2 linked regions of the Neodiprion lecontei genome follow. The protein of the gene in region 2 binds, or shares a complex with, the protein of the main gene of each other region. Links are inferred from orthologs where the notes say so. Each region holds a gene or a part of one and is shown on either strand. Other genes may lie near its edges.

Region 1 (10,676 bases), on a different chromosome or scaffold from region 2:
AACATGGGTTAGTGAACAGAAAAAGGAAAAATTTCACTAATTACAAAATGTAATTACAAATTCAAGCTGCAGGAAAAGTATGCAGTGAGTTCAGAATTCAGATGACTGTTTTCAACCAATGGAACGACAAGAAAGCCAAACCTTGTCTATTTAGTTTTAATTAAATTTATTTTCTAGTGTATTGAAGTAATCATTTCGATAATTTAATATCAACAGCTTCCAGTGCCTCTGTTATCCACGTTGGATATTCTCCATCCGGGTATAACTCTAACATAAATTTTCGAACAAACTGGGGAAATGTCTGCTCTTTGATACTGTCCCTGATATCTCTCATCAGCCTCAATTGGAAGTTGATGTTATGCACGCTCAGCAAGTGACAAGCCACGGTTTCCTGTGTCACTATTTGGTGTAAATAGGCACGAGTATAGTTCTTACAGGTTGAACAATCACAGGAATCGTCTATTGGTGCCGTGTCGTATTTGTACTGCTTTTGTCTCAAATTTAACTGACCTGTCCGTATCAGCGCACAGCCAAATCTCTGTAATGTTGTAATAGATGCACTGTTAATACTTAATATTAAGGCTTTGCGATGAATCGATTAATTATAGACGCTGATGAATTGGCTCTTTCACTTAATCGATTTTCGATTAGGCGATTTATGAATGATTTTATTTTTTATTTTATTATATTCACAAACAGGTAATAATAATAATAACCTTTATTTATTACAATTTTATTTCTAAACAAGGAAGAAAGGAGAATAGTAAAGCAGGTTGACAGTCGCAATAGAAACACCTGCATTGGCATGAGGGATAAGGGAAACTCCCGAAAACTTTGTCCAGGTGTAGCCGGACCCGAGTCCAAATCACCAACCAGCAACTCAGCGCCTGAATGGCGACCCGTCTTAAATTTTTGCAAGTTGCCATTCAGAGCCTTATTGGCAGGCCGGGGACTTGAACCCATGTCTTCCCACTCCGTAGACTCTGGTGCTAGCACCTAAGCTACTACGATCAGTGGTACATAGTGTTTCGCTGAAATGATAGATGCAGCAATTCAAAGGGAACCCACAGGATGTAACAAGATAACGTGCACGTGGGCCCGATACTAAAAACTAACGTATGATCTAATTCACTTATAGATGAGATTGATGTTCGTGACCGTGTAGATAGTCTACAGATTCAATTTAGTTGGGTGACAGTCAGGGATAAAATGATGCAATTATAACAATCAGCTATGTTTTTTCAAAATGACGTTCCGGCAGGACCCCTCCTACCATCATCAGGTTTCTTTAATGTAAAATCAATCCCAATTTTTACATGAGAATTTTTAGTGTTTACAAATTTACTAATGTACATAAATGCCACTGTTTATTGTTTAACCTTATTATTGAAACTAATGTGAAAAACTGAATTGTTCAAATCTTACATATATCGACATTCCTAAACGTTTGCGATGTTTGTTGCATGATATTCGAGAAGGAAGTGACTACCCACCTACCTATACCGATAGGACTGTTATCTTAATATTTATTTCAACAACTATGTTTGAACAGTAAGAAACCTGATGATGGTAGGTGGGGTCCTGCCGAAACGTCGTTTTGAAAAAAACATAACTGATTGCTATAATTGCATCATTTCATCTCTGACCGTCACCTAACTGAATTGAATCTGTAGAATTCACTGATACTAAGTCATTCGATATTGCTAGTGTGGAGAAAGAAAAACGTTAGACCAACATGTATTTCTATTCATTCTTGTGAGCTAAAGTTTTAATTTATCTTTAATAACGTTATGGCTGCACCTTAACATTTCCAGCAAATTCAGACGTTGGTTGAAAGTCGTGATAGCGGTGGAAACATGGTTTTTTTCATTGCGACTGTTTTTTCGATTGATCGCGTTGCTAATTGTTCTATTGATTAATTTTCCAAAGAATGGACTGATCAAGAATTTTGTTTCACTGTTCTTTCAATTAATCAAATAACTGGTCTCTTCCACTAATATTTTTACGACTAATCCATTGATCTGTTCTTTCAATTAATTGTTTTTCGGATGGAACAATGGATGGAAGTCTACGATTAATCGCACAGCCCTACTTCATAAAAAAAAAAGATGTTTTTGTGATTTTATTCCACAACCTTTCATGAAAATAACGTCTGCGGTAATAATTCACCTAATTTGAAACATAAAAATTTCAATTACCGCTGTTCTGGTTGGAAAGACACAGTCGAACATATCCACTCCCAAAGCGCAGCATACGACTAAATCAACAGCAAATCCAACCCCCATTAAATACCTTGGTTTATCGACCGGTAGAACATTGGTTGACAAATGTACCATTCTCCAAAAATCATTCTTGCTTTCTCCACCACTGAAAATAACCATCAGATCAGACAAATAGTTACACATCACAACTACTAAACATCGCATATCTTATTTAGTAGTGTCGATAATTATCGACAATAAGCAATATATCCAAAATCACCTCAAACCTCCTATGGCAAAACCATTGACTTGCCGCTGTGTCAACAATTTAGCACTCTCTGTTCTGAGCTGTGGATCCAGTCCGCCTTGAACAATAGGAAAAATATTTTGCTCATCAGATTTCTGATGAGCCAAAAGGCACCTGTCTACCCATCTTGTGGTTCTAATGAGTGCAGAGAGAAAAAAGAATTTTATTATTCAGTGGCAGTATTGAAAGTCGGTTGGATTATGGTGGAATAATTTTTATTCCCAACTCAACTGTGATGGGCACTTTATTGACCTAAAAATTGAGACAAAAGTAGAATTTGACATACTTTTTTCCCGCATCTGCGGAAGAAAAGTTCTTATTCCCCACATTTGTAGAAACAAAGTTTTTATTTTCCGCTCATTTGCGGGAAAAAAGTAGCACTTTTGTTTAATGGGGACCACTTTTTAAGTGAATAAAGTGGCCACAGTTATCGAGAATAAAATCCTGTATGCAACACCGGAATAAAACTGATTATTTCCTTGGGTGATTATTGTCTGCGCTTTGCTCAGGCAGGACACCCAGCCTCAGGAATAATCTTTGACTTTATTCCCTTATCACCTAATGTTACTATCTCTCAAACAGATTCTAGTCCAGCATCTGCAACTATTTTTTCTCCAATTATCGTGGACAGCAGGAAACAATAGTTTTTTTTTGCTCAAGTGAATTACCTATGCATTGCCTCTTCAACTCGAGGCCCGGTTACTTTTGCATGGACCACATCATCCAGCTGCATTATGATATCTGCACCAATTGTGTTTTGTATCTCAATTGAGTGTTCCGGTGTCAACACACATTCAGATCCTGAAAACAACTTACACAACAAAGAATTAAGGAATATCGCACCAATTCTAAATACTAAAAAATGTGGAGTACTTGATTCACAGAAAATAATTTCTTTCAGCTCTAGGGAATATACTGTCTAAGCAAATGTTCTGAATGAGCGATGATATATTTGTAGCTAAGAATAGAATTTTTTTTCTTTTCATTAATTTATTAGATCGTGTGTGAAAATTGAAAATTGTTCAGGTTAACACTCAATCTTTGCAAGGAATTTGAAAAGGTGATTTATAGTAACGAAAATGAGAAGTTCTTCATCGCGAACTTCATTGAGTTTTATTATACTTTTAATCAGTGATAATAGTACACTTGGCCAAGTGGATTTCACTCTAAAATGTTAAACCAATTTCAAATTAAATTTGCAATGTACATCTGCATATGACACTTGGTCAGAAAAACCAGGACAAAGTAAAAACATGTTAATAATCAGAGGATTAACTCCGCATTTACTACTTATATGTGAACGTTTCTGTTAACTTCAGTATATTACCGAATTCAGAGAGTAAAATTTGAGAAAGTTTCAAAAGTGGAAGCGAGCAAGCATACTGCAAGAACGTAACATTTAAGAATTCAATACTAATATTTGTTTTAGTGCTTATTATTAGCTTGTGAAATTTTAAAGAATATTATTCTCATTTTATTCTGATCCAATAAATGCTACGTCATTTTTTCATGCAAATTAGTTGCATAATGATAACAATAATAATTATCATTCCAGTCTCGCCATGCTCTTTCGGATATGTCTTCATAAATGAATAGCTTTTGTGGGGTGTAGTAAGGATGGACTAGTGACAATCATTATGCGTCCGCAGCTGTCTTAAGATGTTTAATAGGAACACCTGCATTCGCACAAGGGACAAAGAAAACTGCAGAAAACCTCACCTGGGTATAGCCAGACTGAGTTCAAACCTCAGCTTACCGATTTGGCACCTGAACGACGCGACATATGTCACATTTTTTGTGAGCTGCCGCTCAGATCCTCCTCGACATGCCAGGGATTTGAACTCAGCTCCGCCAGTTTCACAGTCTCGCATGCTACGCTACTACGGTTGGTTCTACATTGGCTACTACATTGGCATAAACAGGAATGATAATAACAAATGCACAAATTTTGATTATTTTTAGAATATTTTCATGCTGGGATTAATATTTGGCAGAAATAGCTGTTTTAAATTTAAGAAAAAGCTACAGCTGTGGCTGATCGGACATTTTTTGGTGGAGATAGCCTTTAGCAAAATTTTTCAGAACTTTACTGTTACCTTAAGAATCTTCCAATTTCTCCTGATTATGTCGTATTTTAGAGCTTGACACAACATTGATAATCTAAAAATTTAACTACTGGACAACTGATTGGTGTGATAATTGATCAACTTAAATCGGCAACAGATTTTAGCGATGATTAGGTATATATTACCGTCATAGGGAGAACGGAACGTTACACCCTCTTCAGTGATATGTGCGAGTTGAAGTAAAGAGACCATTTGAAATCCACCTGAATCAGTGAGAAGAGCTCTTTTCCAATTCATAAATTGGTGCAAGCCACCTGCCATTTGCAAAATAGTTGTACCCTTAAACATTTAAATATGTAATTAACAGGTGACCAGAATTAATGGAATCATAAATCACGAAATTATCATTTCAAATCATGTAGAAATGATTGAAGAAAATTCTTGGACAAAGTTCAACTAACTGGTCTTGTTCCGAGGTGATACGTATTTCCGAGAATTATTTGACAGTCCAATTTTTCCAACTGCTGAGGCAGCAGCCCCTTCAGGGTTCCCTGTAAAAAAGATTGCTAAAAATATTGTAAACTATGCATTTATATTTCAAGGGCACAATCTTGTTTTCTACATGTTTCATAGGTTCGTTACGCCCGATCAAATTAGCTAATGATGGAATGTTATTTCTAAACATTTGAGGAACTGAAATGTCCTTTTAGTTTGCGATATGCTGATTAGTAATAATGATACAAACAAGAAACGTTAAACATTTTGTGTTACATATGCAATCATGATATTATTAATGTAGCTATGAGATCCAAAATGCTTCAATAGTTTGAGATCGGTTGGCAAAAAATCAAAACTTTTTATTAGATTTATTATGAAATGCTCGTACACTACGTGTTTATTAAATTATATTAAATGGAAACTATAGAGATATTGTCAAAAATACAAACATAGTAAATACCAGAATTATGCATAAAAGCTTAAATATCCATGCCTCGTTTCAAATCTCTTCATAAAATAGTTAAAAAACGTAGAACAACTATTTAATTTCATACTACATTGCCAGATTTTTACTATAAAGCCTCTGAAACAAATTTACTTCTTCTCAGTAATTAATTCAATATTGGCATTTGTTGATCATAGGGTGTGTTCGTGTTACCTACATTTTCTATACTTTTTATGTATGTCATTTTATTGACATATTTCGCATTCATACTTTTCAGGCAAAGTCGCATGGACGTATATTGCTTGGAAAGAATGGGTTACCAACACGAAGCATGGTTTTTACATAGCATACTGCGGCCTATTACACGAGTTTTTAATAACGAATTTTCTAGACTTTTTATATTTTCGTGTGAGGATACTATCACTGTATATTTCAAAAGTGTAGAAAGTGTAGCTAACACGACAAGTCAATAATCAATATCGATGCTTTCAATGTAAAATCAATGCAAAAAGTGTCACAGTAAATCGGAGAAAGTGTTCTTAATAACATGCAACATCGTGAAGTGAAATCGAACAAATACACTAGATTTTTAACGACTTTGAAGCAGTTTGAAATGAAGCATCGAGATCTGAGCTTTCATTTATATTAATTCCAGTATTTTTTCTTTGTGTATTTTTAACGAGGGATCTCTACAGCCTGCTAATATAATAATTTCACGAATACACAACGTACGATCATCCCGTAATATAGTTCTTCAAGATACGAACCTCCTTAACCAAATCTGTCAGAATTGTGTATCTGTCAAAAACTAGCTAACCTAACTACTTGTATTGTACCAGTACATGGCGTGACTTTTGTAGCCTCTACCTGAGTGCCAACCGGCATAAATACCGGAGTGTCAACATCGTGATGCGGTAGAATCATTAATCCAGTTCGAGCTTTCGAAGTTGAACATGTTTCTGCAATTTTAAAAGTCAAAGGGACTCGGCATGGCTGTTTGCGGTCCATGGCGTAATACTGTGCACAGGAGGTTCGTAAAGTTAGCAACCGAAGTCAAGATAATCAACTGAAAGTAGTTTAGATCGTTTGCGCGTGCCTTGAATATGAGGAATATCACTCGCTCTCGTTTGGGCGGTCATTCGTTTTTGGGAAAAATTTAAGTAAAGTTAGGATGCTGAATTTCAGCACCCGGATTTTGAAAATGATATCATGCGAAAGACTAATAGAATTTCAGATACATTGTGGTGCCAATCGTTTGCGCGTCGTTTGCGCAACCAGCAGCACGAAATAATTTAGCAGAAAATATGAAAAATGACCAGTAAAAGAATTATTTTCTCTAATATACCCGGAAATGAACACGGGTAACTAACAAAATAATGAAGTAGATATAAATATTGCGAGAGGTATTGCACTAGGTCTTGAATTAATTCAAGCAATATGTTTATTCTCACTTTCAGACGCTACCGATTTAGCAGTTTTTTGCTCTTCGGTTATACATCCGGATTTTTCCTTCAGAATTGCTGACATTTTTCACACAGTTAATTAAAATTTGATTTTTCATTGGGCTCGCTAGATGATGCTTATGATGCTTAGGATGTTTTACGCATCCTCTCGATGCATTGTTGGGAAGAACCGAAGAATCGTATTGTTATGATGCTTTCTGAATTTCTCTGGTAAGCTGAGCAATGATTGGCTGTTGCAAGATTCTCTTACGCGGCAGCACTGGCAGCACTGCTGGCTTATCCTGTACAAGGTCCCTAGATTAGACAGGTCAAGACACGTGTGTTCCAGTTTTTCTCACTATAACGTGGGCAAAAATGTTCTATGCGCGTTCGCCCAAAAAATATCAAATTTACATTACCGCATTAACCAGTTTTGACCAATCTTGCTCAATTTTTTGAGGTTCAGCATTAACGAGTTGCGCCCTTCGTGTCCTGACGTTCACGAAATAAATAGAAGCACGTATATATTTTGAGGTTAATCATTGTGACAGGTCAGGAATCAGAACCACACCGGGTGCTTTCCATTTAGAGCACAGTGTGACACAGTGTACAAATTTCTATTGTAAGCGGCCAACCCGGGCAAAGAAATAGACCAGAAATGTTTACACCGTGTCATATTGTGCTCTAAATGGAAACCATCTATTGTCATACGAAACTTTTGGCGCATTCTCACTAATTATTTTGACCATGCGTGTCTTGACCTGTCTAATCTAGGGACCTTGATCCTGTACATATAGGCCGTGTTCGAAAATTGACTGACAGTACTGTCGGCAATCTTTTATCTCTTTTGCCCTTCCAAGTTCGTGAATAGCTCTGATTCTGTCCTAGGGAATTTTCAGTACTGTCAGTCAATTTACGAACACGGCCATAGGGTGCTATTTCGGCCGTGTTCGAAAATTGACTGACAGTACTGTCAGCCATCTTTCACCTATTTTGCGCTGCCGAGTTCATGAACAGCTCTGTCTCTGTCCTAGGGAATTTTTAGTACTGGCAGTCAATTTACGAACACGGCCTTCATGAGCAGTAAAAAGCAGCAGTGGTTTAGTAACTTAGTAGTTTTCACTAGCATCAGTCTGGTAATTTTACGCAGCAGCAGCGCTGCTCATGAAATAGGTCGACTGTTCTTGTGATCTTGTGGCTTGTCGCTCGAAAAACTAAACTGCGAGCAGCAGAAACTTGCGCCGGAAGTGATAGGGGAAAACTGCTGCTGCTGCTGCCTTTTACTGCTCATGAAATAGCACCCATATACGTTGGGTGCTTTCCATTTACTGACTCAAGTCGACTTGTGTCGCTATTTCTGGTGTATTCCTTTGCCCAGATTGGCCGGTTACACCAGAAATAGCGACACAAGTCGATTTGAGTCAGTAAATGGAAGGCACCCATACATGTTCTAACCAGAGAGAAACCTTTATAAGGTCCTCCGTCAACGACTTGAATTCTCTAGCTAAATTTGTTTTAGTAATAACGACTAAACCATTGACTATCAGACATGGGAATACATCATCAAACATCAACAAACGACCAACAAAGAATTAAAAAGAAATCAATTTATTTGGGTGTCAATGACGGCCTAAGTATAGGTATAATATTGACCTGTTTTCTACCTGCTTCTCTTATTAGTTTTAACTTGACCCGTCAGGAGGCAGATCTTTCTTTTTCCATCTTAACAGTGTAATGAGTGTTGGTAGTATTCTTACCATCTTTTTCAGTGGTTGGCACCTTGCGGCAATTTTCCCGCTAATTTTACTGTAGTAGGTTGTGAAATTTTGTTTACACGTCGGTGCAGTTGCTCGGCTCTTAGCAGCCACGTGTTTTATAAATCATATTTTCTGCTTCCCTCCTGATCTGTGGTGTAGATTATGATTTTATGATCTTCTTATTCGCTCCATAGAACGCAGAGTGTTCCGTTGTGGAGTGTTAGTGTTAGCTTTATGACGTTTGGATTGTTCGTTTGTTTCGCTCTTACATCAGCATGGATGAACCTGCATGTAAGTCTTTCTAATTTAACGTGCATTTTTCAATGTCAAGTCGTATTCCCTCGACAAATAATCCATTTTAAAATTATTGGCTTGACGAAGATCTATAGATATCCTAAAACCTTATTATTGTCAATCTCGATATCGTCACATATCCATTGCATTCTTTGTCACGATTAATGTCACCGGTGTCACCTGTTATAACTCGCCCCATACTAGCTTAGAGACCACTGCGATACCATCGGATTATGTGAGATTGAAACTCGTAACGTCAATGTGACCATGCGATTTTGATAATTGCTATTTCGCAATTTGAGGATGGTCTGAAATCCGGTAAACTGTAATGGAGCATCAATTCACTCATGTTTTGCCCATTCAAGTCCTTCAAAGATATACCGAAGCTATAGAATGGTAATTTTTCTTTCGACATTATTTGGTTATCCAAATGTTACAAATTTCGGTCTCATATGCAAGTTATGGTCAGCTTTTGTGAAGATCTGCAGTTTGATAACTGTGGAAATACGTAACCTTATGTACATAGTAAAGGGGATGCATTACTGATCCTACAAACTTTTTCTAAAAATACAATATTTTGACCACTAATAAATTTCTAACGAAATGAGTTTTTACCATGCTGTTTGAATCGACTGTATTCCGTATCTTGTATCTACCAATTATTAGTCCTACTAATATCGAGATTTTTTTTTCATAACCTGCATTATACAACTGCTCTACTAAATACAAATTTCAAAATTATTATAATAGCATAAGGGCACGAGGTCGAAGTTAGTCATGTTATCGTGATGAAACATTGAGACAAAAGTTAATATTTTACTATTTCAAAATAACTTCTAAAGGAATTAAGTTTCCAAAATATGAAAAAGTTTTGCTTCAATGCGGCTTATGAATTCCTGGGAAATGCTCAGGTTATGAAATAATAGTTTTTCTTTTAAATGCTTCGTTAAGTTAGGAATTTAATCCCATGATGAAAAATGATTGTACAGAACAATTGATTTGTCATCACAGACCAAGTATCGGGTAATACGATTTTAAAAAAACTATTGGCCATAGAACGACAAAAGAAACTCCAATTCATTAAAATGTAATCCACTTTCGCTGGTTTACAAATTGTTGAACCAATTATTTCACAAACAAATACTCAAGCTGTGTTACTCCAAGTTGCAACTCGAAACACCACCTTGGATTAATTATTTTCAAGGTTTCTGTGATACTTTAAATTTTACTTAAAGGAATGCCGGACACATGTAACGTATTTGCATTGCTGAAGAACGTTAACAATTATTTTCGTTTTTTTCAGTAGGGTAGATGCGCCGATAGTTGGTCATCTTTGCATACCGTAATTTTCAACACACAATTTATGTATTGGGGGCACAAATTAATTCGGTCCGTTCTCAAAAGATGGATCTATAAACGTGGCTCTAAAAACATTCAATTTTTAAGTAGTAACAGCTGATTGCCCTGGTTTTAGACAAATTGGACACCTGCCGATAACATCCAGTTTGTATTGTTGTGAGTTTCATATAAAACGTTTTTTGTTACGCTGTTGAAAATGTCACTTTTTTTGATAACTGAACACCATTTGTGGGAAGTTTTAATTTTTTGTTTTAATTGGAAAAAAAGTTCAGCTAAAGCTCATCGTATGCTTGTGAAAGTTTACGGT
Region 2 (10,331 bases):
GAACCAGCCTGAATGTATCGGAAAAACAAATACCCCACGACACCACTTTTGAAAATGATAGCTGGCTAGGGAAAATGAGGAAAAAAAAAAAATTTCATAACGGAAGAAAAAAAAAATATATATTGAATCTCAAAAACTCTACCAGCTTGAAATAAGTGACGTTCACGTCCACCAAACATCGGTAAGCAATTCATTGCATTACAATTACAGAATAACTTTCAAGGAGTTGGTTTTTGATAAATATAGATATACGTTTGATTTCGGCATGGCTTACTAAATTTCAGAGAATTTTAATACTGCAATGTAATGATTTTTCCTCAATATGTATCTTTGCAGTAACGTTAATAACTTCAGCTACATAAAACTCTTTCATATTTCACGATACCATAACGATCACGGTTTATCCTAATGTCGTCATCTGCGAAATACGTCCCCTCGTCCCAAATTATTTTATTCCTAACATTCAATTAAATGTAATAATATTATTCTCAAGTATCAATTTGATTTTCTTACTCCATTTAGACGATGAAAATAAGAATAATTTAAAAATATGAAGTTACTTGAACTTGGTCCGACGACTACACCTGGGCAAGGTTTTCTGCAGTTTTCTCTTGTCCCTCGTGCAAATGCGCATGGTTGTATTGAACATCTCAAGACGGCTGCAGCCGCAATTCTAAATCATGAAAATAACGAATAATCGCAGTTTGTCTCGGAATGACTTTCAAACGGAAGCTCAAATCGTAAAATATTAGTTTTTTTCCACAACCCTGTATCTGATTATGAGTGAATAACCGTGGCTTACCACGAATGCGGTATATAATTATTCAAACTATAAGTACCGTACCGTTACTTGTGTGAGAGGAATTTTCACGAGAAAAAAAAAAAAAAAAAAAAAAAAAACGTCAGATTTTGTATAACTTGTATGTGCGGTATGTAATAAAGAACATTTCAGTTAAAATGAAAACGTATAATTTCACAAAATCAACTGATCGATGCTGACCCAGTATCTGCAGTTCTGTTCATTGAAAATAAGTTCAGAGGTACGACAAATTTGATATGTTCACCTGATAACTCGATTGGAGAGGTAAACTGATCACTTATGGAGACGCGAGTAACAAGATAGAGGGACGGAGAGTTTCCATTTGTTGATATGGATAAAAGATGCTTCAGTTCTAGGGAAATCATCTAACGAAGAAGCAGCAAGTTTCATTCTTAAACGTCTTACTTGTAGAATTCCACTTAACGCTTTGACGTAAAAATTCCGAGTTTCAAGACTGTTTGTGGTAAATCCAAATCTGGTGGGAGCCAAGTGTAAAAATAGAATTTTGGAAGGAGCGCTGATTGAGATCTATGAAGCTTAGTTGAAGTTTAAAAACAATTTATGAAAAAAAAAAAACGTACATTTTTCGCTATAGACCATCATTATTCCTTGACTTTTACCGGCAGGCAAAATTTCCTGATTATTCCCGATTTTCCCGATCGGTAGTTTTAACATTAAAACATTTATAATCAATAAATCACCAAGTGTTATTTCACCTTCGAAATCCACATTTACTTCAATTACTTCAATCAAGAATCCTCTATTCCGGTTGTTCTTGAACGCAAAAAAGGATGTCGAACACCTTACAGCTCGGGAATAAACTACCCTCAAGTTGTTGCGACAGGAAGGAAAATCGTTCAATTTTTCTACAATTATCTGCTCAAGATAGAATATTTAACATCATGAGTTTTGCTGAACATTAAACGTACCAAACGATAATATTTTAAATTGCAACAATTTTATAAAAACTGTAAACAATTAATGTAATAGAAAACTTCTTCCTCTAATCTCTAATCTTCAAATCAAGGCTTGCCCTGCTAAATATTATTGTTGAATACTTTTTCAACAACGAGTACGTCACAGAATTCGGTACCAGTAACCTTGACTGGAAAAAAAAAAAATTGTACCAAATCTGTCTGGCCCGATGTTGTTGTTGGTTTTTTTTTTCTTTTCTTTTTTTTCTTTCTTTTTCACTTTTTCTTATTTTTCTTTCTCTGGGCAACGGTAAGTTAGTGATAACAAATATTCTCGCAATAATAGTTCATGAAAATGACCCTTGACATTTGAAGAACTGATTTGTCTTAAAGCCTAAGGAAAAATAATTATTCACAGGTTGATGGGTCACGTTTTAATCGCGTTACAAATAAATAGAATTAGTTGATTACCTTGATTATACAGTTATATACTCTAGTTCACTCAATGAACATGAGGTTAAATTTAATTCTTTGTAATGAGAAAATTAAGAAATGCAAATTGAAAACTTTTGACCAGAAAATGCGAATTTCTGAACACGCAAGTACCTAATCTATTTAGGCCGTTTACTCAGAGAAGATTGTGTAAAATCTGATCCAAAGAAGATAGTAACAGTTAAAGACTTCCCAAGACAACAAAACGCAAAGAATATAAAATAATTTCTAGAATTTATTGGCAATTACAGACGCTTTGTACCAAATTTTTCCAAAATAGTAAAACCTTTAGACAGGATTTTTCACGTAATCGCGGGATAAATTGTGAGAAAATGCAATACTTCAATATCTTTCTTTCACCATACCTTTTATACTAACGACGGATGCATCAAGATTCGTCATATAAGGAGGCGTATTAAGTCAGGGTCCAGTAGGAAAAGATTTGCCGGTAGAATACAAAATATGTAACCAGATTACAAGATCAACGAAAGAGAAGTTACTAAACAGTTGAAAACGAATTACTGGCAATAGCTTATGCGGTAAATTTGAAAGTAATTGCTTGGGCTTAGGCTTATAAAATAAAATTGGGATATTCTGCAAAGAAAGTAGAATATAATATTGAAAGTGATCTGTAGAATGAAATTTAAATTATACAACTACCCTGTGAACTTGACTCACAATCAATCAATTAAATAACTTGGAATTACCGTTTTACTGTTATTTAGATCTTAAACAGCTATAAAAAAAAATTTACTTGCAGAATCAGAAACAAAAGTAAGTATTGGCACGTGATAAAAGCGACCTGGAGAAGCACCTGTAACCCAAATACATGCAAACTCACCAATGCTGCCAAGTAATGGAGTAGTCATTCGGATGTCTTCGCTTAACTCTGTAACAAATAAAGATACAAGCTCGAATTAATTTAGCGAATTTTTATATTGTGGATGTTTGATGCTGATATTCATCATTATTATTGTCCGCTTCCATGCTCATTCACTTTACGTCACGGAAGGATAAAAATTCAGCTCCAAATTTACCACCTTGATTCATCAACCATTATTTGAATAAGTATTATTCTCACCTTTTCTGACTTGGTCCGCACTTCAGATACGAAATAATCCTGGTGGCATTTACGGTTTAACGATGAAGCTCCACACTTTAGATGAAAAAGTTCTCGTAGCATTTGCTGTTGAACGATGAAGCGACGTACTTTCGACACTGGAATGAGAGTATAAAAGAATATTACTCAAAACAATATACTTGAATCAGATTTCACGTCACTTTATAGACTATCTGTGTTGATTTAAATTTTTTTTAAATAACATTTAAATAGTTTCAGATGTAGTAATAAATAAACTACAGAAACTATTGATAGAAGGCGAATAGAATAAACAAAAATAATAAAGAAATGCATAAATCTGGTAGGCAACATTTCATATCAGTCAAGCATGACGGCTATAATCATTTGCAATGAAAAATGAAATTGTAATTCAAAATCAAGTATGATTTCAAACGAATGTACCTGTTTTTTTTTTTTTGTTCTTGCAATAACGTTGTGACCTATGCAGCTTCTGTACTTTGTTTTCCAAGATTTTTTGCTAGGTTCACCCAACTGAGATATTCACCAGCCCCGAACGATCGACCTGCAGTTTAATGCTGCAGTCGGGTAAAAAAACAAATCACTATGTTAATATTTCGTGTTCATCGACATCCCAATACTCAGGGTTGATAATTGATTTTATAAGTCTTGATAAATAAATTAAACCATCTTTCAAATTTCAAATAATAAAACTTAATCAAGTACGAAAGGTTTTCGGTAGCTATCAACTTGCGAGAGAAATATTCGAATACGATAGTGATAGTTTACAACATCTAACATAATCAAGAGATAATTAAACAAATTGAATTGCGATAGCTAATTTACGAAGTAATTGTTGATGAGAAATTAAACATAGTTAAATTAAGATGCTTGAAATTCAAGATATAATTAATAGAACAAATTTTATAGAGAGTTTACGAGAGAAGGGCAGCGAAGATACTAGAAAGTATGCGGAGTAAGCCTTGCTCACAACAGAATTGAAGACAACAAAGCGAGATTTGAATTTACAAAAACACAGTATAACAATGACATAAGAAACTTATTTTAATCGCTTGCAGGACAACTGAAAGGTACGGCGACCTCAACTAAACTCATAACTCGAAGAAGGTCGATTTAATATTACAATGTCATAAATAGAAAATAAAATAACCACAACCGGTGCTTTTAGAAGAACCGGCTAAAGCCACAGCGCGATGTAAACAGCGGTCACCTCTACGATGAAAAAGTTGATCATGTTATGTGGCGTGCAAAATCCGTTGTTTACATCGGAATATACGGGCATATACCGGCATCGAACATTCTAGATGTTTTTCATCCACGTCTAATACATGTATAATCCACGTAAGAAATGACTTTTGTTAAATCAGTGACCACGTTATTTCGAAAATCATTGCAATATGTATTGAGAAAATTATATATTGAAATTAGTAACGTTATGTCGTAACGATTCATGGTGAGGAAAATCCGTTATTTCGCGATTTTTGAATTGTCTGAAAATCGATGAACCGTAATAAAACAAAACCCACTTATATTTCGAATTCTTAGTTCCTTAAAAATCATTGTAAAATTAAGAAAATTGTGATTTTTTTCAGCAATGTTTCGTTAGAATAACGTTACAACTTCAACCTCGTTCGAAAAAGCAGTACTTGAACGAAGTAAACGGTTTTTCCGATGCCTTTTTGTTTCTTTTATTATCAATGAATATAGAGCGTTTTTGTTCGTTGAAAATCGATACTTTTACTTTGGACTGCAGCTGTTTTATGAAAAATCAATATTTCATTACTTCCTCCGTTCAAGCACTACACAATTTTATGCAAAAACTGCTAGTTTGACATTTTTACGTTGAACGATTTGTTTCCGGGCAGCATGCGATCATCGCAAAAGACGTTTTCCAAACAATAATCCGCACAAACTATTATATCTAACACATTTATAAATATCTTTCATCGGAAAGAAAAAATTGTAAAAGGTACCCAAAACCGTACTCGTTCATGTAAGAAGTAAAAATTTTAGCTGCGAGGTCGCTCGGAAATTCAAAAGCATCACAGGACGCAACCAAAGAAAATACGGTACAGAAGATACGAGAGAAAGATATGAGCAGCTTTGCAACTTTAGCATACAGTAAAAAACCAAAAGCCTTACCTTAGCCGATGATTCGAGCACTCACTGATTCGAATGTGAAATAAACTTGTCAGTAGCAAAAGAAAACGGTAGAAAAGGTAAGAGGACGAAAAGGAAACGAAGGTAAAACGATAGAGCAAAAGGTAAAAGTTACGGTAAAATCGATAGTGAAGAAGGTAACAAAAGGAAAAGGTAGGAAGAATTAAGCAGGAGGGAATTTTCTAGATCAACGAGTTGCACGGAATTAACGCAACGTGTTGACTCTGGGCTTGTCGAACGAAGATTAAGAAGAATACGAACCACGAGGAGGGCCGAAATTCGTTCCGCCGATCTCGCCGCTGTCATCCGATTGCATCCGATGATCCTTCTTCCTCCTGATTGGTTGTTGTTTCCCGTCGTGAATATCCGATCATCCCCCTCGACGCGCGAATCAATTACGAATACACGTGTTACGAAAATTTCCGCTAGATGTGGCGCGATGTTTGTCCTTTAACGTCGTCATATTGCTCATTTTTCGCACACAGCCTTTCTGTATGCAGCCGCTACTCCCGACTGGCCGGCTGGTTGCCTGTCATTAGGAACTTTTGACGAAATTATGCAGATGATATCTATGACCACAGGATTCTGACTGGAGAATGACAGCATTGAAGGGGTATTCCGATGTGGACATTTTTTATTTTCCATATTTTTTTCCACTAAATGCTATCCAACCGGTCATGTTAACTTTTTAACACGTTACTATAAACACCTACACTCCTGTTCCTGATAGATATACGTATTTTGGTCATCGCCCAGCCGATCAATGCTCAATTTTATACGTTGAAATTTGAAATCTTCGTGATTGTTTCACACTGTGCATTTCGAAAGTTAATAACGTTGCGGTACATCGCGACTTTCCTACCATCGTTTGATTCCCGACGAATCAACCAACGACATTGTTGAAAAGAGATACCCATACGCACATGCTCGAATCCTGCGGCTGATCCCGAGACGCCCACCTATATTCTTCGTCATCTATATTCGGTCTAAGCGATCTAATCCGAACACATTCTACTAGCACTTACGATATCTTATTTTATTTTGATGAACGACCCGTGGATTATAGTTCATTTTCTGCCAGCTGAATTCAATTTGGATTCGTTCAGAAGGTGATAAAAAAAATTGTTTTGGGTATGGCAATGATGAGGGTTGTTATGATTATTAATACGGTCGATAAAGAATTACCATACAAAACCGGTGGATTAATAGTTCCCGCCGATAAAGCAGCTACCGGATCGTTAACACGGCTTCTAGCGACCCCAGTCGCCCAGGTCCACTTACCCGCCAAGTACTGGTCACGAAAATCTGCAGAGGAGTCAGTCTTTGAGTTTTACTGTCAACGGTTAATTTCACACACCGCCATGCGAAACAACGTCGATGGTTAAACGTCACTATTTGAGGTTACGTCGTGTTCTCAATTCGCAGCGCTATGAGTATACCACGTACCCATGAGTCAGGGAAGAATATTAACTGACTAATAAAATCAGCGTCACTTGACAGCCACAGAAGTATTTAACACGTTGAACTATTAGTGTTATTGGTCACGTCGAAAAAATCATAGAAATTGACGCATGTTCCTTTCTAACCTACTAAAACAATGACGTAGTTTCAGAATGGTACTAATAACCTTCCAATAACCTGTTGTGCTCTGTATTACATGAAGTACGCAAAGCATAATGAAGTTTATGCCAGAATTGTTTACACAATCTTCAGCTCGGCTTGGCACACTGTCAGAATTAGAGAGAACACCTGATGTGGTATTGGAAACACCACTATTAATGCTTTACACAAAGGTTTCCTCTTTCTTTAAATTTACTTGTCAAATTTATCTCTATTATAATCTTTCAGTCAAATTTCAATGTAAGCGAAGACTATACTCATTATTAAAATTTATTTTTTATACAACAATATTTACAAATAATTTCAGCGTGGTAGCGTTCCACATATTACCAAAGAGGTACTAGAAATGATTACGCCAGAAAAACTGTTACTAACAATGTCACTGCCTACCACATTCGACATGACCGATCCAGTCCGACAATTTAAATCAATTGCAGATTTTGTGGGATTGAAGGTAAAGTTTAAATTATAACATAAATTAAAGGCTAAGATTTCAAAAGATGCGTTGTGTATATGCTCCTTCGTAATGATATTATTATTCAGGAATATCCTGTATTTCTTACAATGGAAGATCCGGCACAACCCACTGTTTCTGGCTACAATGACGAAGACACTATTGCAGTGTGGACCAGACATGGAAAGCAGATAATTAACGCAGATGGTTATATGGATATAGTCGAGGCATTTAGGCCAGACTTTTATCTGGCACTATACGACAGCGATACCCACTCTGGTAGCAGTTCCAAGAGAATCACAAAATCTGTAGACCGCAGTATAAAAATGCTTGATAAGTGTTTAACCAGGCATAAGGCGTCTGAAGTCGTAAGAAATAAAGGCATTTTTGGCGCCGTTGGCGGCGGATACAACACAACGGCTAGAGAAATGAGCATAAAAAATTTAGAAGGCAAAGATTTGGCTGGATATGTTATTGACGGGTTACACAATAACGGGCCAGAAACTGAAAAGATCCCTTTCCAGTTTGTGGAAGATATCGTCAAACACACGATTGTTGGTACATCATCAAAAAAATGCACTACTCAGCTTCTTGAATATTCTATTTTCCAACCTGATCGCATTATTTCTTTCAGAGCTTATTACCACAGGACAAAATGCGTGTCACGATGGGTGCCTGGAACCCCGTAACTGTAATAAATCTTATCAAACTAGGAGTGGATTTATTCGATTCTTCTTATCCCTATCTCGTCACCGAACGATCATGTGCACTCACATTTTTATACCATCATTCTGAAACCGGCGAATCGCCTATGATATCGATATCAGAAAAACGGTAATTTACATTCTCTGTGCATCTATATTTTGAATTGAACAAAACAGTATCTGATTTACTTTTTAATTGTTCAAGGTATGCGGATGATTTCACACCTATTTGCAAAGATTGCAAGTGTTTGACATGTTTGAATCATACGAGAGCGTATCTGCATCACTTGTATCAGACCAAAGAACTCTTGGGCGCAGTTCTCTTAATGATGTAAGTAAAATGAAGAGCATTTTTCTTAGCAATATTTTGAGGGCAATTTATACTTCTACCGAACTTTTTCAAATTTCAGACATAACATACACCATTACCTAGAATATTTCAAGGAGATACGAAACAGTTTACGGAACGGCACTTTTCGGGAACTAGAAACCAAAATTTATGTGATATTTGCTAAAAATGATTCAGCAAACTAAAATTTGTGTATAGTATCAATAAAACCATTTTTTCTAACACTTGGTCGTTTTCTGATTTGATAACATCTCCCAATACGCGAAATTATTCAATGATTGTGCATTAAAACGAAGCAAGTTGTTTTGCACTTATACTTCGTGCTGATTTAAAAATATAAAATAGAATTATTCAGGCAGAAAATTAGGATCTAGGTAATTGTACGATGAATTACTGAAGTTTTGTGGAAAATAATCCGTGTCGTAGCTTCTATTTGACTGAGATGGTCGAACAGCACATAATTTGTGTAACGGGGAATGCATTGGCGTTTCAGACTCCAATTGTGCGACAGCACAATCTCCACAGAGATTCGTTTTACCTTGACAATCTTCGCAATGCCATCGGGTTCCCTTCAGAGGCTCTTCTTCGCACAATGAACACTGCAAAGAATGACATTAAATTCATTAGCAAGAATGAAGTGCATAATCGTGATTTTCATTATTTGGACGCGAAATTAATGTTAAGTGACTTACTTTGTATCCAACATGCTGATAAGCCTGCAACTGTTCATCTTCTTTTTCTGCTTTGACTTGTCGAAGCAACTGAATATGTCTCAACTCTACAGTATCCTCAGTGGTTCCATTTCCACCATCATCTTCCTGAACAGAGTGCAAGATTCAGAACTCGATAAAACGTTGAGAGTTAGAAGACTTACCGAGTCCTCCGTCACCGACATATCGCGCATATCGTCGCCAATGTTGAAAGACATGTCCTGATGTGGAAAAAACGTGGAGGGTCTAAACAACAAATAATTATTTCGTTGGTGTCTGTGATTCAAACTTCTTTTAACATCCAATTTAACTTTTGGTCCTCTTCCGGGAATTGGAAGTCCAGCTCTGAGTAGCTTGATAAAATATTTTTGTACACGGCTTGAGACTTGCTTAGGCGTTCGGTTACCTGTAATATAGCAAGTCTCACATTTAGCAATGTTATAATAACAAAGAGTAAAGTTCAATTAATTATGGAATGATCTCACATCAGTTGTAGAATGAAAAAACATTTACCAAGTGCATTGGCAATTTTGGTCCAACGGCGCATTTCTACTTCTTCAGGCGGATATTCGACCAAAAGTTCCTCTAAACGTCGCTGTTCTTCTGTTGTCCATAGCTGGTTGAATGTCTCAGGTTTTGTTTGGTCAAATGCTCGGCCTCGTACAAGAACCTGAAGTAGAGATACATTGCATTTAAAAGAAAAAATGAAATTACAATAGAACTAATACAATATTAGAGCAAGTAAAGATTAGTTTGCGGATTGTAAAAATCGTCATTTATGTGTCATAGCGCAATAAGAAAAATACTTTTCCATCGTCAGGTTCGCTTTTTATTTGAAGTTGAGGAAGAATCGGTCCATGCCGAGTTTGTGGTCGCATAGAGCTATCGGGTAATACTATATTATACTGAGTCCAATCAATGTAGGGAATTTCAGCAATTTTTTGTGGCCCAGGAAGCTCGAGAAGATCGCCATCCTGTAGTCTGGCGACGAAAGATATGGGATCCGTTA

Evidence for each region. The genes of interacting proteins can lie anywhere in the genome.
Region 1: the proteins of queuine tRNA-ribosyltransferase accessory subunit 2 (region 2) and queuine tRNA-ribosyltransferase catalytic subunit are in contact, whole or in part, in a crystal structure (PDB 7OVS), measured with the Mus musculus proteins. The link is inferred for Neodiprion lecontei from reciprocal best matches to the Homo sapiens genes QTRT2 and QTRT1. Residues at the interface, in NP_001343258.1 of Mus musculus: Arg39, Thr40, Gly41, Ser42, Ala43, Pro44, His45, Leu46, Thr47, His48, Gln49, Thr50, Asn53, Glu70, His71, Glu73, Val74, Glu77, Tyr78, Phe85, Ile86, Gly87, Phe119, Gln342, Glu343, Phe345, Tyr355, Asn359, His360, Ala363; in NP_068688.2 of Mus musculus: Thr50, Thr53, Met54, Lys55, Gly56, Ile57, Thr58, Thr59, Glu60, Gln61, Ser64, Arg80, Pro81, Leu85, Lys88, Ala89, Phe95, Met96, Asn97, Ala307, Lys308, Phe310, Pro320, Thr324, His325, Ala328, Phe329, Ala332, Leu333, His335.

Annotation. Positions count from the first base shown.
Region 1 is NC_060264.1:15,983,770-15,994,445, forward strand, and holds the start of queuine tRNA-ribosyltransferase catalytic subunit, read right to left. Parts: upstream 6,567-10,676; 5' UTR 6,526-6,566; coding exon 6,385-6,525; intron 5,126-6,384; coding exon 5,036-5,125; intron 4,914-5,035; coding exon 4,760-4,913; intron 3,310-4,759; coding exon 3,177-3,309; intron 2,644-3,176; coding exon 2,482-2,643; intron 2,368-2,481; coding exon 2,199-2,367; intron 539-2,198; coding exon 191-538; 3' UTR 1-190. Other genes in the region: DNA polymerase alpha catalytic subunit, read left to right, coding at 8,992-9,007.
Region 2 is NC_060261.1:4,131,660-4,141,990, forward strand, and holds queuine tRNA-ribosyltransferase accessory subunit 2, read left to right. Parts: upstream 1-6,836; 5' UTR 6,837-6,993; exon of another isoform or gene 6,994-7,091; 5' UTR 7,092-7,161; coding exon 7,162-7,278; intron 7,279-7,412; coding exon 7,413-7,559; intron 7,560-7,648; coding exon 7,649-8,113; exon of another isoform or gene 8,114-8,193; coding exon 8,194-8,393; exon of another isoform or gene 8,394-8,468; coding exon 8,469-8,594; exon of another isoform or gene 8,595-8,673; coding exon 8,674-8,797; 3' UTR 8,798-8,836; downstream 8,837-10,331. Other genes in the region: ZZ-type zinc finger-containing protein 3, read right to left, coding at 8,960-9,211, 9,305-9,430, 9,487-9,728, 9,836-9,869. UniProt on the Homo sapiens protein: Non-catalytic subunit of the queuine tRNA-ribosyltransferase (TGT) that catalyzes the base-exchange of a guanine (G) residue with queuine (Q) at position 34 (anticodon wobble position) in tRNAs with GU(N) anticodons (tRNA-Asp, -Asn, -His and -Tyr), resulting in the hypermodified nucleoside queuosine (7-(((4,5-cis-dihydroxy-2-cyclopenten-1-yl)amino)methyl)-7-deazaguanosine).